2 linked regions of the Arabidopsis thaliana genome follow. The protein of the gene in region 2 interacts with the protein of the main gene of each other region in a biochemical or structural test. Each region holds a gene or a part of one and is shown on either strand. Other genes may lie near its edges.

Evidence for each region.
Region 1: the proteins of bHLH104 (region 2) and BTS form a complex in vitro, tested with the Arabidopsis thaliana proteins (one study listed by BioGRID).

What each region holds. Positions count from the first base shown.
Region 1 is NC_003074.8:6,272,191-6,280,237, reverse strand, and holds the start of BTS (zinc finger protein-like protein), read right to left. Parts: upstream 6,273-8,047; 5' UTR 5,931-6,272; coding exon 5,601-5,930; intron 5,307-5,600; coding exon 5,097-5,306; intron 4,971-5,096; coding exon 4,776-4,970; intron 4,702-4,775; coding exon 4,340-4,701; intron 3,969-4,339; coding exon 3,740-3,968; intron 3,599-3,739; coding exon 3,430-3,598; intron 3,335-3,429; coding exon 2,102-3,334; intron 1,939-2,101; coding exon 1,767-1,938; intron 1,416-1,766; coding exon 1,197-1,415; intron 1,086-1,196; coding exon 948-1,085; intron 842-947; coding exon 607-841; intron 520-606; coding exon 460-519; intron 358-459; coding exon 286-357; intron 205-285; coding exon 64-204; 3' UTR 1-63. UniProt on the Arabidopsis thaliana protein: Essential protein. Negatively regulates the response to iron deficiency and thus contributes to iron homeostasis. Exhibits E3 ubiquitin-protein ligase activity in vitro.
Region 2 is NC_003075.7:8,297,736-8,302,413, forward strand, and holds bHLH104 (basic helix-loop-helix (bHLH) DNA-binding superfamily protein), read left to right. Parts: upstream 1-1,661; 5' UTR 1,662-2,341; coding exon 2,342-2,397; exon of another isoform or gene 2,398-2,682; coding exon of another isoform or gene 2,683-2,720; coding exon 2,721-3,029; intron 3,030-3,113; coding exon 3,114-3,194; intron 3,195-3,275; coding exon 3,276-3,438; intron 3,439-3,525; coding exon 3,526-3,768; 3' UTR 3,769-3,932; downstream 3,933-4,678. Other genes in the region: ACD6 (ankyrin repeat family protein), read left to right, coding at 1-625; AT4G14420 (HR-like lesion-inducing protein-like protein), read right to left, coding at 4,436-4,540, 4,633-4,678.

The sequences.
Region 1 (8,047 bases), on a different chromosome or scaffold from region 2:
GTAAAACCCGAAAAAAGGAAAGAAAAAAAGAGAGTAACAAGTGAGTGAAACCTCTTGGTGTTTTCAGGATGAGGTTGAGCAGTCCGGGGGGATTGTTTCGGACTTGATCACCCGGGTATTGTAAGAACCACAGCTACCACATTTATGGTACAACCAATGGAACCGTGTAGTTCCTTTGCGTTCACAATCATTACATAGAATGTCCTGAAACATTTGTGTATGTGTGTCATGAAATGACTAGACTAAAAGAAATAGTCAAGACGCAGCAGTTTTAGTGTTTCTCACCTGACAGCGATTTTTGTATTCCTCTGGAAGTTCTTCTGCAGCTAACAGTGCATCAAGCATACCAAAATAAACCTGTGGAGTTCGCAAAAGAAACGAAGAAGAAACAGTTCAGTAAACAATATTTGCATGATGTGATATGCATGTTACACTCTTGAGGGGCGGGGATCATCTTACAGCCATATCTCCTAATGATTTTCCACAGATTGGACATGTGTAGTGACTGCAAGTGTAAGCCTGAAAGACCAGAGTAACAGCAAGTGTTTTGATTTTAGGCGTTAAAAGTTAATTTAAGTTTAATGAGAGAAAGAGAGATTTGCAAACCTGGAAGCAAGCTGAGTGCATGTAGTGACCACATGGTAAGGCTCTAACTGCTTCACTCGATGTGAAAAGAAATTCGCAGCAGATGGGGCAATTTGTCTCGAGGCTCTTCTCGAGGCACTTGTGGTTTACTAATTTCATCCCTAGGCAACAGTTACATGTCATGCAATGGAAAAAATCGATTCCTAGTCCTTCCCCGACCCGGCAAAGGTTGCAGAATGGACAGTGGTAAACGGCCCTGAATGCAGATAATTGTTTCTCACGGTTAGAATAGCTTCTGAAGTTTGATTTTTGACAGTGGTAAATTGATTCGTTTATGCATCAAACTGTTGGGTTTTGTTTACCTTTCATCATCAAAAAGTTTGCAAATACTGCAATAGTGCTTTGCCATTGGGAATCCGTCGCATGAAGGTGTTGTGCAGATGGGACCAACAGGTTGCACCTTGAGGCACCGCATACAGAGCATTTCCGTCACCAATTTTCTGTAATATGTTTCAAATATAAAATTACATATCACAGAGAGAGAAAAAAAATACGAACAAAGAAGTTTCAATTTAATTAGGGGAAACTGGCTTTAGAATATAAGATCTTACCTATCCATGGAGTGGTCGCTTACTTTGTCATGGCAAAACCTACAAGTGAACAACTGATCACAACAAGCAGCTCGAAGCTTGCAGTTACGCTTGTAATGCTCGCATCCATATATCTGCTTCTCGGGATCCCGAAAAGACGGGGAACATCCAAGTTCAACATCACCATTTACTGCAGTTTCTGCTTCCTTAGGTAACTTTTGCTGAGCCGCAATCCATCGACTGATAAATGCACCAACAGAAGAATTTTAAAATAAATGTTACTCTAGAACAAATAGGATTCGGGTATGAGGGACATGTGAATGAGATTATAGGTTCTCTATATCAGAAGATTGCTCAATCAAGGACACATATACATGCACAGTGGAAAATAAACTGAGCACGTTATTTTGGATTGGGAAACTGTAAAGGACAGGAGCACCACTTATACTCTTCCGCATTGCAAAAGAAGTTCAAGTAATACAGGGAAATGTATTATCTCTTTGGGGGGTTCTAGATTTATGTCTGGCATGCTGTATGCATGACAATGTGGAATAAAGGATCCATGCGTGGAAATAGTGAAAAAAATCTGACCTGGTCCTCCAATTCTGTACGAGATAATCTTTTCTCCTCGGATCAAGTGTTGAGTCCTGATAGACCTTCCTGATTTCAGCCTCTAGTTCATTCTGGTTCATGCGGAAAATATCTTTCCACCCTGGCTTAAATAGTTCACCACTTTGGTCCAAGATTTCTTGATGATCATTATCTATATGGAAAATAAACTTGACATAAGCAAAACAAACTTAGCACAGAGAAACTATAGTTGCCAGCTTAAGTATGAGTTATGAAGTCCAAAGAAGAAACATCTAAGGTTACATTAAACAAGTTAGATATTAAGTTGGTGAGAAATAGCTAAGCAATGCTTTTACCTTTCTGTGGACTAGGTTTGGATGTTTCTGTTGAGGATGAGTCGGGTGATCCTTTCCAGCATTCATTAAGCCATTCATCGAACATTGTGTTCTTGGTTGCCTGCTTCCAGGTATCCATCATTCTGTTTTGCTCATCTTCAGAAAGGGCAGACGTCACCCATGGTAACATAGATTGAAGAACTTCAGCACCCGTTGTTCCGATTATACGACCCACAATCTTGTCTTGCTCTTGAATGGAGAAGTGTTTGTCAAATAGAGGCCAAAGCTCCAGTTCCTCCAAGAAAATGTGCTGATCCAAAGTGATTTTAATGGATTTGCACATCCCCTGTAGCTTTGTAGCCAGTTCATTGTATTTCTTGTTGCAGTCACCGTTATCGATATCCGTCCGAACAGTGTCAGTTTGAGCTATGTCCTCCATCATAGAATCACTCTGTAACTTCTCATGAAGAATTGAAAGTTCGGTAAGGACACTATAAATATCTCCAAACAACTTCTCCTCCTGTTTATGGTCGAGCGTGTAAGAGTGACTGACATTGTGAAGTGTCTCCTTCGATTCTAGAGCTGGAAATAGGATGTCATCTTCTGCATTACTATGAGCCTTGTAGAAACCCCAGAGTAGGTGAAATCGACCGATAAATTGACGAATAAATGTTCCATCGCAATCAATGAGCTTTCCAGATTCAACATCAAGAAACTCTAGATCTTTGCTTATGGCCTTGTGAAACTTGAATATTGTAGCAACTGGCCGCTCAGCATGTCCAGTACCAAAGCTGTTACTATCCATTTCCCAAATAAAGAGGCTGGAATTAAGAGCGGGTGCAGCAGAGTTTAGCGAAGAAGATCTCATAGCTTTAGCTGCTGGAAGAGAACCAAGTTCCAGACAATTATTGTTAACTCCGAGATCCGGAACACAGCATGACCTACCATTTCCAGATGGCTTGCACCCATTTGCAACTTCTGTCGAGTGAGGGGTGGTTTTTTTTTCACAAGACAATACAGCAGTTCGCTTAGCTGGCCTTTTATCTTGATGCTGGCAACACGATTTTGTACTCCTACTCGTGCATGGAACAGACGCACAAGCATTACATGACTGAAGGTTGACTTCTTTAATGTTGCTTAGTGTTTTCACAGGGCATAAACCATTCCCGTTTGGAGACAAGCATTCCCCGGCTTTGCGTCCTTTGCAAGCCCAACCAGAGAAAAGAGTAACGAGAGCAACATCCGATTTAGGTGCTGAGGCCACAAGAAAAAGCATGTAATTATGCAAAATTGTGAGTAGCTAATAATTTGAAAGAAGGTTAAGTTTAAGGCAGTACAGTAGATAGTACCTCCAGCTTGCAAGTTCTTCAGAAAATTCTTAGCTTCATCTTCTGTTAAAGATGCCGTCAACCATGGCAAAACTCGTTCAATTAGTCTCAATGGCATTATACACAGGCTTTGGTAGAGAAGTTCTTGTTGTCTTTTGAAGCTGAAGTTCTTTCGTGCAAGGGGTAGCACCTGCAACCACTACAAGTTAGTTGACATCCTGAAATTGGTATCTTGAATCTTCATAGCATATAGTATCAAATGATCTTATGCCAAACTTTCATAGTTTCACCTGTTTACAATATCATACAGCACTTAAAAGCAATAGTTCACCTGAATTTCCTCGTTATGGAAGTGTCTTTGAATAGTTTCCATTATTTGATCAGCATGTGAGCACAGCTTAGTGTAAAATTCGGCAGCGGAAGTAGAAGAGGCTCCAGCACTCTTGATATTTTCAATTAAGCATCGAAACTCGTTAAACTGATTTTCTTCTTCATCGTGCTCTTCAGAAAATGAAAACTCTCCATCTACAGCTGGAAATATGATCTTGTCCTCTGCAAGACTGCACGAGAAAAGAACAGATCATCTCAAAAATAGTCCAATGACAATTCAATCTCTGTCAGAAGAAAAAAAAAGTTGTATGTAGATATGAACATTTGATAAAACTCTTTTTCGAATGATAACACTCTAATGCAGAAACGTGCTTAAGCATGAGAAGAGTAAAGGATAAACAACATCCATATCACTTGAAAGTAAAACACATCACAGCTGGCAAACGTGTTTTAGTGGCCATCAACATCAACTTTATAAAACAAATCTAGTTATTTACCTCAATAAATCAACATTGAATAGTCCCACAAAAGATAGCCAATAAACAATAGCAAAATTGAGATTATTCTGTTTTCATTGTAAATGAAAGGATACAACAAATACCTATGGAAGATGCACACTTCAGCAATATATTGTAAGCGTTCATCAAATGCCGATAAATCCGAAAAATCTCCAGACAGCTGAATCTTCCTAGCCTCATCGGCTATTTCTTTCATCTCCTTGTTGATTGACTTGTGCCAGAGCTTTATCTCATCAACTGGGTGCAGAGTATCAGATGAGCCAAAGTTAGTAAGCTCTGGGTACTTTCTCTTCCCAATCTTGGAACCCTCACATGCGCACTGTTCTCTACTTGCTTTACAAGGAAGCATGCTGCTAGAAGAATCTAGACAGCACTGGAACATAGAATCTTCAATGCGACACGAAGCCACGGTATTGCTTTTCCCTCCCAGCCAGGTGAAAATAACCTTCAAAAGGAAAATATCAATCAACAAGCCAAAGTCTTTCAACTTAGAAAGTTGGATCTTAATTCAAAACTTACCTGCTGAAGGAGCTTCTCGCCTGGAACTATCTTCTTTAAGCACGTTTGCATCTCCTTGCTTTCATCTACTGAAATGGAAGAAGAAATCCATGGCAAGAACACAGCAAGCATATTCACAGGAATACTGCAGAGAAACCGCCAGACTATGTAAGCTTGCTCCTCATACTTGAATTTCTCAATAAGTAAGGGGAACACCTATCAACAAGCCAAGAACAACCCGTAATTAATAAAGGCCAATGCGTAATGCTAAATATTCGATCTGTGTTAATAGAAAACAACAGAGATAATACATCTGTGATGTGAAGGAAAAGAAAAAAATACCTGTTTCTGTTCTTTCGCCAAGTGCTGGCTAACAGAAGTCTGAAGTGCTCCGGTAGAACGAGCCAACTCCCTTCGGTAACTTTCATCAGTTTCCGTGGCAGAATTCAGCAGCTCAAAGAGATGATCGAAAAGATTGCTTTCCCCCTTGTGTTCAAGAGAATATGTTTGCGCTACATTCTTCACACGTATGTCAAGAGCTGAAAATATCACCTACATCCACAGATTTGCAACTGTCAACAATTCTTCCTCATAACATAGCAATACAAATATGTTGCAATAGATTCCCTATCTACAACGCACTCATAGAATCAATAGGATGATCAGCAAGAGACTAATTGAGACTTACAATTCGTTTAAGATAAAATCAAGTCAGATTTACACAAATTTGCAGCTATATGTATTGAGTTCAAAATCCAAGTAGAGATGGTTCCAAATTCTAATTCAGCAGTTTTCAGAACATGATGAGATCAAATTTAAAAGAAGAGGACCAGGTTTTCGCATTACCTCGTCTTCGGCATTGCAGTGATGCTTATAGATGGATCTCAAGAACCGGTACCGTTCACGAAGCAGCCGGAGATCGACATGGTGACCAGTAGCAAACTCAAGAGCCAATCTATGAAGAGCTTCAAGCTCACTACATACTGCCTTATGAAAGAACAAGAAAATCAGGATCGGAGAAATCTCTTCCGCGTCATCCGAGAACGAATTCGCCACAGGCAACGGACGAGATGAAGAAGAAGAAGAAGACACAGAACTCGGAAGAACCGTGGTTGAAGAAGACGCCACTGCTCCGCCGCCTCTCGCCGTCTCAAAATCTGGTAACGGCGTCGCCATTTCCCCCAAAGCTTATCTCCGTTTTCGTCCGTCAAAAAAGAAATCTCAAACCACTTCTCTCTTTCCTTATGATTCGTCTACGACCTTCAATTTTCAAATCTGAGCTCGGTTCACCATGGGAATTATCTGGTGTTCTTCTGGTGTTTGTGTGGTGTTGTTCAACGGAGACGATGAGAAGGAAAAAAAGAAAGAAAGGTCGAGGCGTTGTCTGATATATCGATTTTGATTTTGCTTTTGCTTTCTTTTCTTTTTTATTTTTTGCCTTTTATCGTTTTATTAATGTTTATCTGGAAAATATTTAAAAAAAACTGTTAGTAGTATTATACGATCCTTGTAAATTTTTTTATAGAAAATGAATAAAAGTGCTTGGGGATTGGGTGGGTGTTTCTATACATAGGTTTTGTAGCACGTGGCCATTCACATCGCCACGTCGGATGCTGATGCAACCAACCCAGGTTGGCACGTGACCGATTACATCTCGACACGTGCAAGCGTCTTACCTACGAACGCATTTGGTCCGCGAGACATGGACGCTGGTTCTCGGAGTTAGAAGGAGGGACTCTACTGACTAGGGGCAAAAACGTTATGTAATTGCTTACGTGGAATTCATTAAGCTTTTGTTAAAATGAATTTGCTATTTTATATGTTTGAGGTTTAGCTTTTGAGGGAGCACTTTCAAAAGAAAAGATGAATTTGGCTTTGAGATTTTATGAAATAAGATAATGTAAGACAGATTCGAACTTGGTTTAAATATTTAGTAATGACTAATGACAGAGAGGAGATGTAGCAGCACCCGTTCGTAATCTAAAGGAGCCAAATAGCTAATTAGCTTCTTAATTAAACCATTGATTAAATTATTGCTTCACAGTTTTGCTTTGATTAATAAATGCAAATACAAAGGTTTAAACTTGTTTAATTGAGTTTGCATGTGCTCCAAGGTTTACTAGATTGAGTCAATTAATTTTGTGTCATTACTAGAAACAATTCTATTTCAAATTAGTAAAAGATAATAGAAATCGTGTTCAATATATATTCTTATGTAGAGATAACAAACAATTCTTTAGTAGATAATCAACAGCTAATGATGATCATGTTTCACAGTCGTGTTTATATTATGTATAGTCTAGTTAGTGGTACACCAGAAAATTACATTTAAACCTAAATAAACTTTGAAAAATGTTAATTACGTAAATATTTGGGAACTCTTTTCGATTAAAAGTATCTTAAAATTTCAATTTTGTATATTTATAAATCTATTCGTTCATATTTTATTTTTAAATAGATGATATTTACATATTTTACCAAAAAAACAAAAGGAATAGATTGATGAAGTAGAAAATGGTGGGAAAAAAACAGAGGACAAAGGAAGTGGTGAAAAGTAAAAAAAAGATACAAGAGGGGACGTGTGGGAAGTGTGGCGACAATTGGGTAGCAACAAGTTCCACTCGCGCTCTCTTCTCCACAACACATTCCTTTTTTTTCTTATAACCAAAATAAATAACATTTATTAGGGGACCAATATTTAACAAGTATTCATTATTCTTTTTCCCCCGATTTCACAACAACCTATTTATTTTATAATCAGAAACAACTTAATAATTCGCCGTTCTTGACTATAATTCTATAAAGAACAAAAACAACACGGACTAGTCAACTTATGTAAGCATTTCAACATTGTTCCACGTAATTTTCTACGGTAACCTTTACCTAATTTATATAGTAATTAACAAGAGATTAGATCATATATACTATATGAATATATATATATATATATAGCTTTATTGCAATCTTATAGGATCATAGATGGTAGGATTATTATTCTCCCTTCTTCAATTAATGCAACGATATAGGCATCTATGACCACCTAATTATGATCGTAAACCTAAATGATTAAAACAATTATACAATTTAAGACTAAATTCGATTGGTTGATTATTTTAAAAAATGAATATAGCTGTTTTTTTTGTTCCGAATTATTTGGAAATTTCGAGTATCGTGCAAGTGTACAATAGGCAATGGGTTGGCTTTTTGTGAATTGTGATCCATCAATATAGTGATCAATCTCTTTTCATGTATCCTTTTTCCCTCTTTTGTTTTGTTTTATTTTTTTCGTCTAA
Region 2 (4,678 bases):
TATTCACTCAAGTGGTTTCGAATCTGTTAAGTCATTAACAATACAGTCAGTGCCACTAGACCCTAAGAAAAACAGACATTACGTCAACGCTCTTCTCGTGGTAGCGGCTCTTGTAGCCACAGTGACGTTTGCTGCAGGCTTTACAATACCAGGTGGTTATATCAGCGATAGCAAAAAACCAAACTTGGGCAGGGCAACTTTGGCCACTAACCCAACTCTCTTCATTTTTCTGCTTTTTGACATCTTGGCAATGCAAAGTTCTGTTGCAACAATATGTACTCTTATTTGGGCGCAGTTGGGTGATCTAGCACTCATCCTCAAATCCTTACATGTGGCCTTGCCCTTACTACTTTTTTCATTACTATGCATGCCCGTAGCATTCCTTTTTGGCGTGATCACTGCAATTGCCCATGTGAAATGGCTTTTAGTCACCATTAGCATTATATCTGGTGGATTCTTCCTTTTCGCAATCTTTATCCTTGGCCCTCACGTCATGCTACAGCGCTCACACCTTCCGCCCAGTTCTGGTATATTTCTCAAGACTTTTATGCTGACTATAGACATATCTGAGTTGTTTGTGATTTTGATCAAAGCTTGTTTTGGTTGTGTGGCGTGTTCCGAATAAATCATCAAAAGTTTATAGATCAAAGGATATTTTTCTTCTCTTTTTTTTTTCTTTCAAAAAGCTACGAGATATGCTGGTCTCTAGCTCTGAGAAGCGGCATCTTGATCATACAACTCATTCGAAGTCCTATCAGAATTATCTGTAGTTGTAATAAAGCGTGAAAAGTATATCATTCGAAGAGATTTTCCTCTAAAATAATCGAGTGATATTTTATTATTCGGTTTAGTGGATACCAGTTTACTAATCTCTCGAATTTATGAACCACATTCAAAGGAGATGAGTTTAACAAAAAAAAAAGGTAAATTGTTTTTTATTCTCGTCGTGCGTTCCACATGAGTCGTTTTCAAGAGCAATATAGACGATACTTCACAAGAATTATTATTTTTGTTGGGGTATAAAAATTTGAAGATACGTTTGGCAACGACAATACGACGTTAGATTGTTCCAAGAGGTGCAAAAACTTAGGGACCCTCTTTATTCGTTCACTGTAACCACTGACCACAACATGACTAGGTAGACTCTTCTTTTTGTCAATGTTGATGTTTATACGATTTTGATGAGACTGGCTCTATCAAGATATGAATCTCTGATCATATCTCCACTAATCTTTCATCTTGTTATTCCCTCATTTACTTTTGATTTCCTTCTCTCTCTCTCTTTTTTATGTATACAAATTTTTCTTTATTTCGCTTCACTAAACCCCACCATGTAATTGTGTGAGTTTTGGCGAAGTGGCGCAACACCGTAGAGCACACCAACACTAACCCAATCCATTTTATGACCGTAAATTTTGTTGTTGATTAGTGTATTTTTTTCTTGTTTAGTTATTCTGAGAAGTAAATTTTTTTTTTACAATTAGTTTTTAAACATAGTAAAATAAATTTATGACAGATTATAATATTATTTTAAAAATCAATAATATCTAACAAATTAAATAAACAAATCACAAATTACTATATTTTAAATAAATATTGATAATTTTAATTATATTATTTTGTTTATTGGTTAACTCGCAGGATATGCGAGTTAATTCATTTGAGATTGTAATCCGCCATATACTAACTCGATAACCCTGACTTTTTAGAAATCTAAAAGTATAACCCTATAATAAAATAGATTATGTCCAACTCGCGGATTCTAAACCTGAATTGACATGGCGGAACCATTCATAAAACCATACCAATTCTTGCGTTTTGGAAAGTTGGTTTCCTTTTCATTTCTTTGAATTTGATCCTAGATTGTGTAGTTCTCAAGCTCATGCTCTTGCTCGTCAAAAACGTATCAACGATTTGCTTTTCCTTTAGACGTTCTTGCATCGGATTGGTTTACTCAACTCCACTCGATGAAAAAGTTACTATCTTAAAAAGAACAAATGCAAATTCAATAAAATTCCCCAATATCTACGCATGAAAATATGATTCTGTCTTTTTTTTGTTTGTCTATCTTTCAATACTTTAAAAAGTGTATTTCTAGAGGCGATTTGTCATTTCCCGAATAGGAATTTGAGTAAAAAAAAACACTCTGTTTTTTATTTCCACTAATATCAAATCGGCGAATATAGTTCCCACCATTCTTATCTCCTTGTCGTCACTCGGAATTTTTTAAATAATAGGATCGCTTTAATAATATAATCTCTATAATTTATAGTTCCTTTTCCAATATTGGCGTCTCCGTTGAAGCTTTCCACAAATCTCAAATTTGTTTGGAGACTCTCAAATGTATCCTTCTCTCGACGATGATTTCGTCTCTGATTTGTTTTGCTTCGATCAAAGGTTCGTCCTTTCGCACTCTTCTCTTCCTTCACCTTCCTCTGTTTTCTCTATCTCTTTCGATTCAGTTGTTTTATCGAATTTGATCCCTTTTTTCAATTGCAAAATCATATCTTTAATGTTCAATTCGATTTCTGTGAAAAGTGTTGTTGTTTTTTTCGCATTTCAGGGGGAAAGGTTGTGTCTTTTGATGATAATTTGACGAACCCTAATGTATCTGAAAGCTGTTAAATTGAATAGGAGAAGAAGTAGCTTTATGGATGTTGTTGTTTATATTTACTCCTATTGATGGATGTGAATCTTTTTGGTCATGATGACTCTTGTAGCAATGGAGCAGAACTTGATGATTACACACAGTTTGGTGTAAATTTGCAGACTGATCAAGAGGATACCTTTCCAGATTTTGTGTCATATGGTGTGAATTTGCAGCAGGAGCCAGATGAAGTCTTTAGTATTGGAGCTTCTCAATTGGATTTGTCCTCGTATAATGGAGTTTTGTCGCTAGAGCCAGAACAGGTGGGGCAACAAGATTGTGAAGTTGTGCAGGAAGAAGAAGTAGAGATCAATTCTGGTTCATCTGGTGGAGCTGTTAAGGAAGAACAGGAACATTTAGATGACGATTGCTCCAGAAAGCGGTGAGTTTTGAAAAAATATAAACTTTTTGTGATTTGGTGGTAGTTGGTTGTGTTTTTAATTGAATCTGTGATGGTTGTTGATAGGGCAAGGACTGGATCGTGTAGCAGAGGAGGAGGAACTAAAGCGTGTCGTGAAAGGTTGAGGAGGGAGAAGCTAAATGAGAGGTATGTTTAGAGCTTAGTCTATGTTTTTGTTTTGTGAAGTGAGTTGTCTCAAGGGGAAAAAAATTGTTGTTGTTCTGTTAGGTTTATGGATTTGAGCTCGGTTTTGGAGCCTGGGAGGACTCCTAAGACTGATAAACCGGCTATACTCGATGATGCAATCCGTATATTGAATCAACTTAGAGATGAAGCTCTTAAGCTTGAAGAAACTAACCAGAAGCTTTTAGAGGAGATCAAGAGTCTCAAGGTTGGTTGTTCATTCACTTTCACCTAAACCAAGAATCTTGTTCAATGGGATGTGAACAGATTTCTAAGTTTGTATGTTTCTTTATAGGCGGAGAAGAACGAGCTGAGGGAGGAAAAGCTGGTGTTGAAGGCGGATAAAGAGAAGACAGAACAACAGTTAAAGTCTATGACGGCTCCATCTTCAGGGTTCATACCTCATATTCCAGCTGCATTTAACCACAACAAAATGGCTGTTTATCCAAGTTACGGTTACATGCCAATGTGGCATTATATGCCTCAATCCGTTCGTGACACATCTCGTGATCAAGAACTCAGGCCTCCTGCTGCTTAAACTCTCAATTGTTTTTTTTTGGTACCCATAGGGAACTCATAGAGATTTCTGAATCACTTGGTTTAGGATTCTTCCGTTTGGCAAGTGTAAAAGCTTTACTCTTGATCTTGGGTTGTATTTTTCTTATAAAATAAATATAACTCCAGAAACTTGTGATTCTTCTCTGATCTATGAGTTCGAAAAGTTCAGTTATCAAAAACTTTAGCTCAGACCAAAAATGTTGCTCTCGTTGAGAGTTGAACTCAAGACCTCCCGCTTACTAAACGGGTGCTCTAACCAACTGAGCTACGAGAGCTTCTTGCTGTTGTATTCTTCGCTATATGAATAATTATTTTTACCATTCACTGAGTAGCAACAAATTAGCCAATTAGGACCAAAGTGACAATGAATTTACAAAGGTTGAGCTGATGGCTATTCCGTAGGTTAATAAATCAGTCGCGTTGTGAAATAAGTTGGAACAATAACATTGAAGTGGTGTCTCTAAGAAACAATAATCCATAAATATTTCTACAAAAAAGTGTCATAAAAGCTTCTTGAAGTAAGCAAAATGATTTGCAGAGATTTTGCCTTTCAATGGCCTCATCAGATAGACTCTTTAAACCCATCCTGGATTCCAAAATGAAAATAAAATACAGACCGAATAAAACCGATGAAAGATATGGCTTCTTCAGTTTGCTTTTGCCTTTGGAGCCTTTTTCCTGAGTTGCCTACCGTGTTTCCTTGAGTTTTTCATTCCAATGAAGAAGAGCAGTCCTCCAAGAAGAGCCAAGCTCTGAAAAGTTAACACAGAATAGAAAAAGATCTCAGGTCTATGTCAACAGTTGTTTAAACTTTCATTAAACAACCAATATGACATTAGCTAACCTGTGTAAATTTTGAAAATAGTTGGCCGAATTCCTTTCTGTCAACA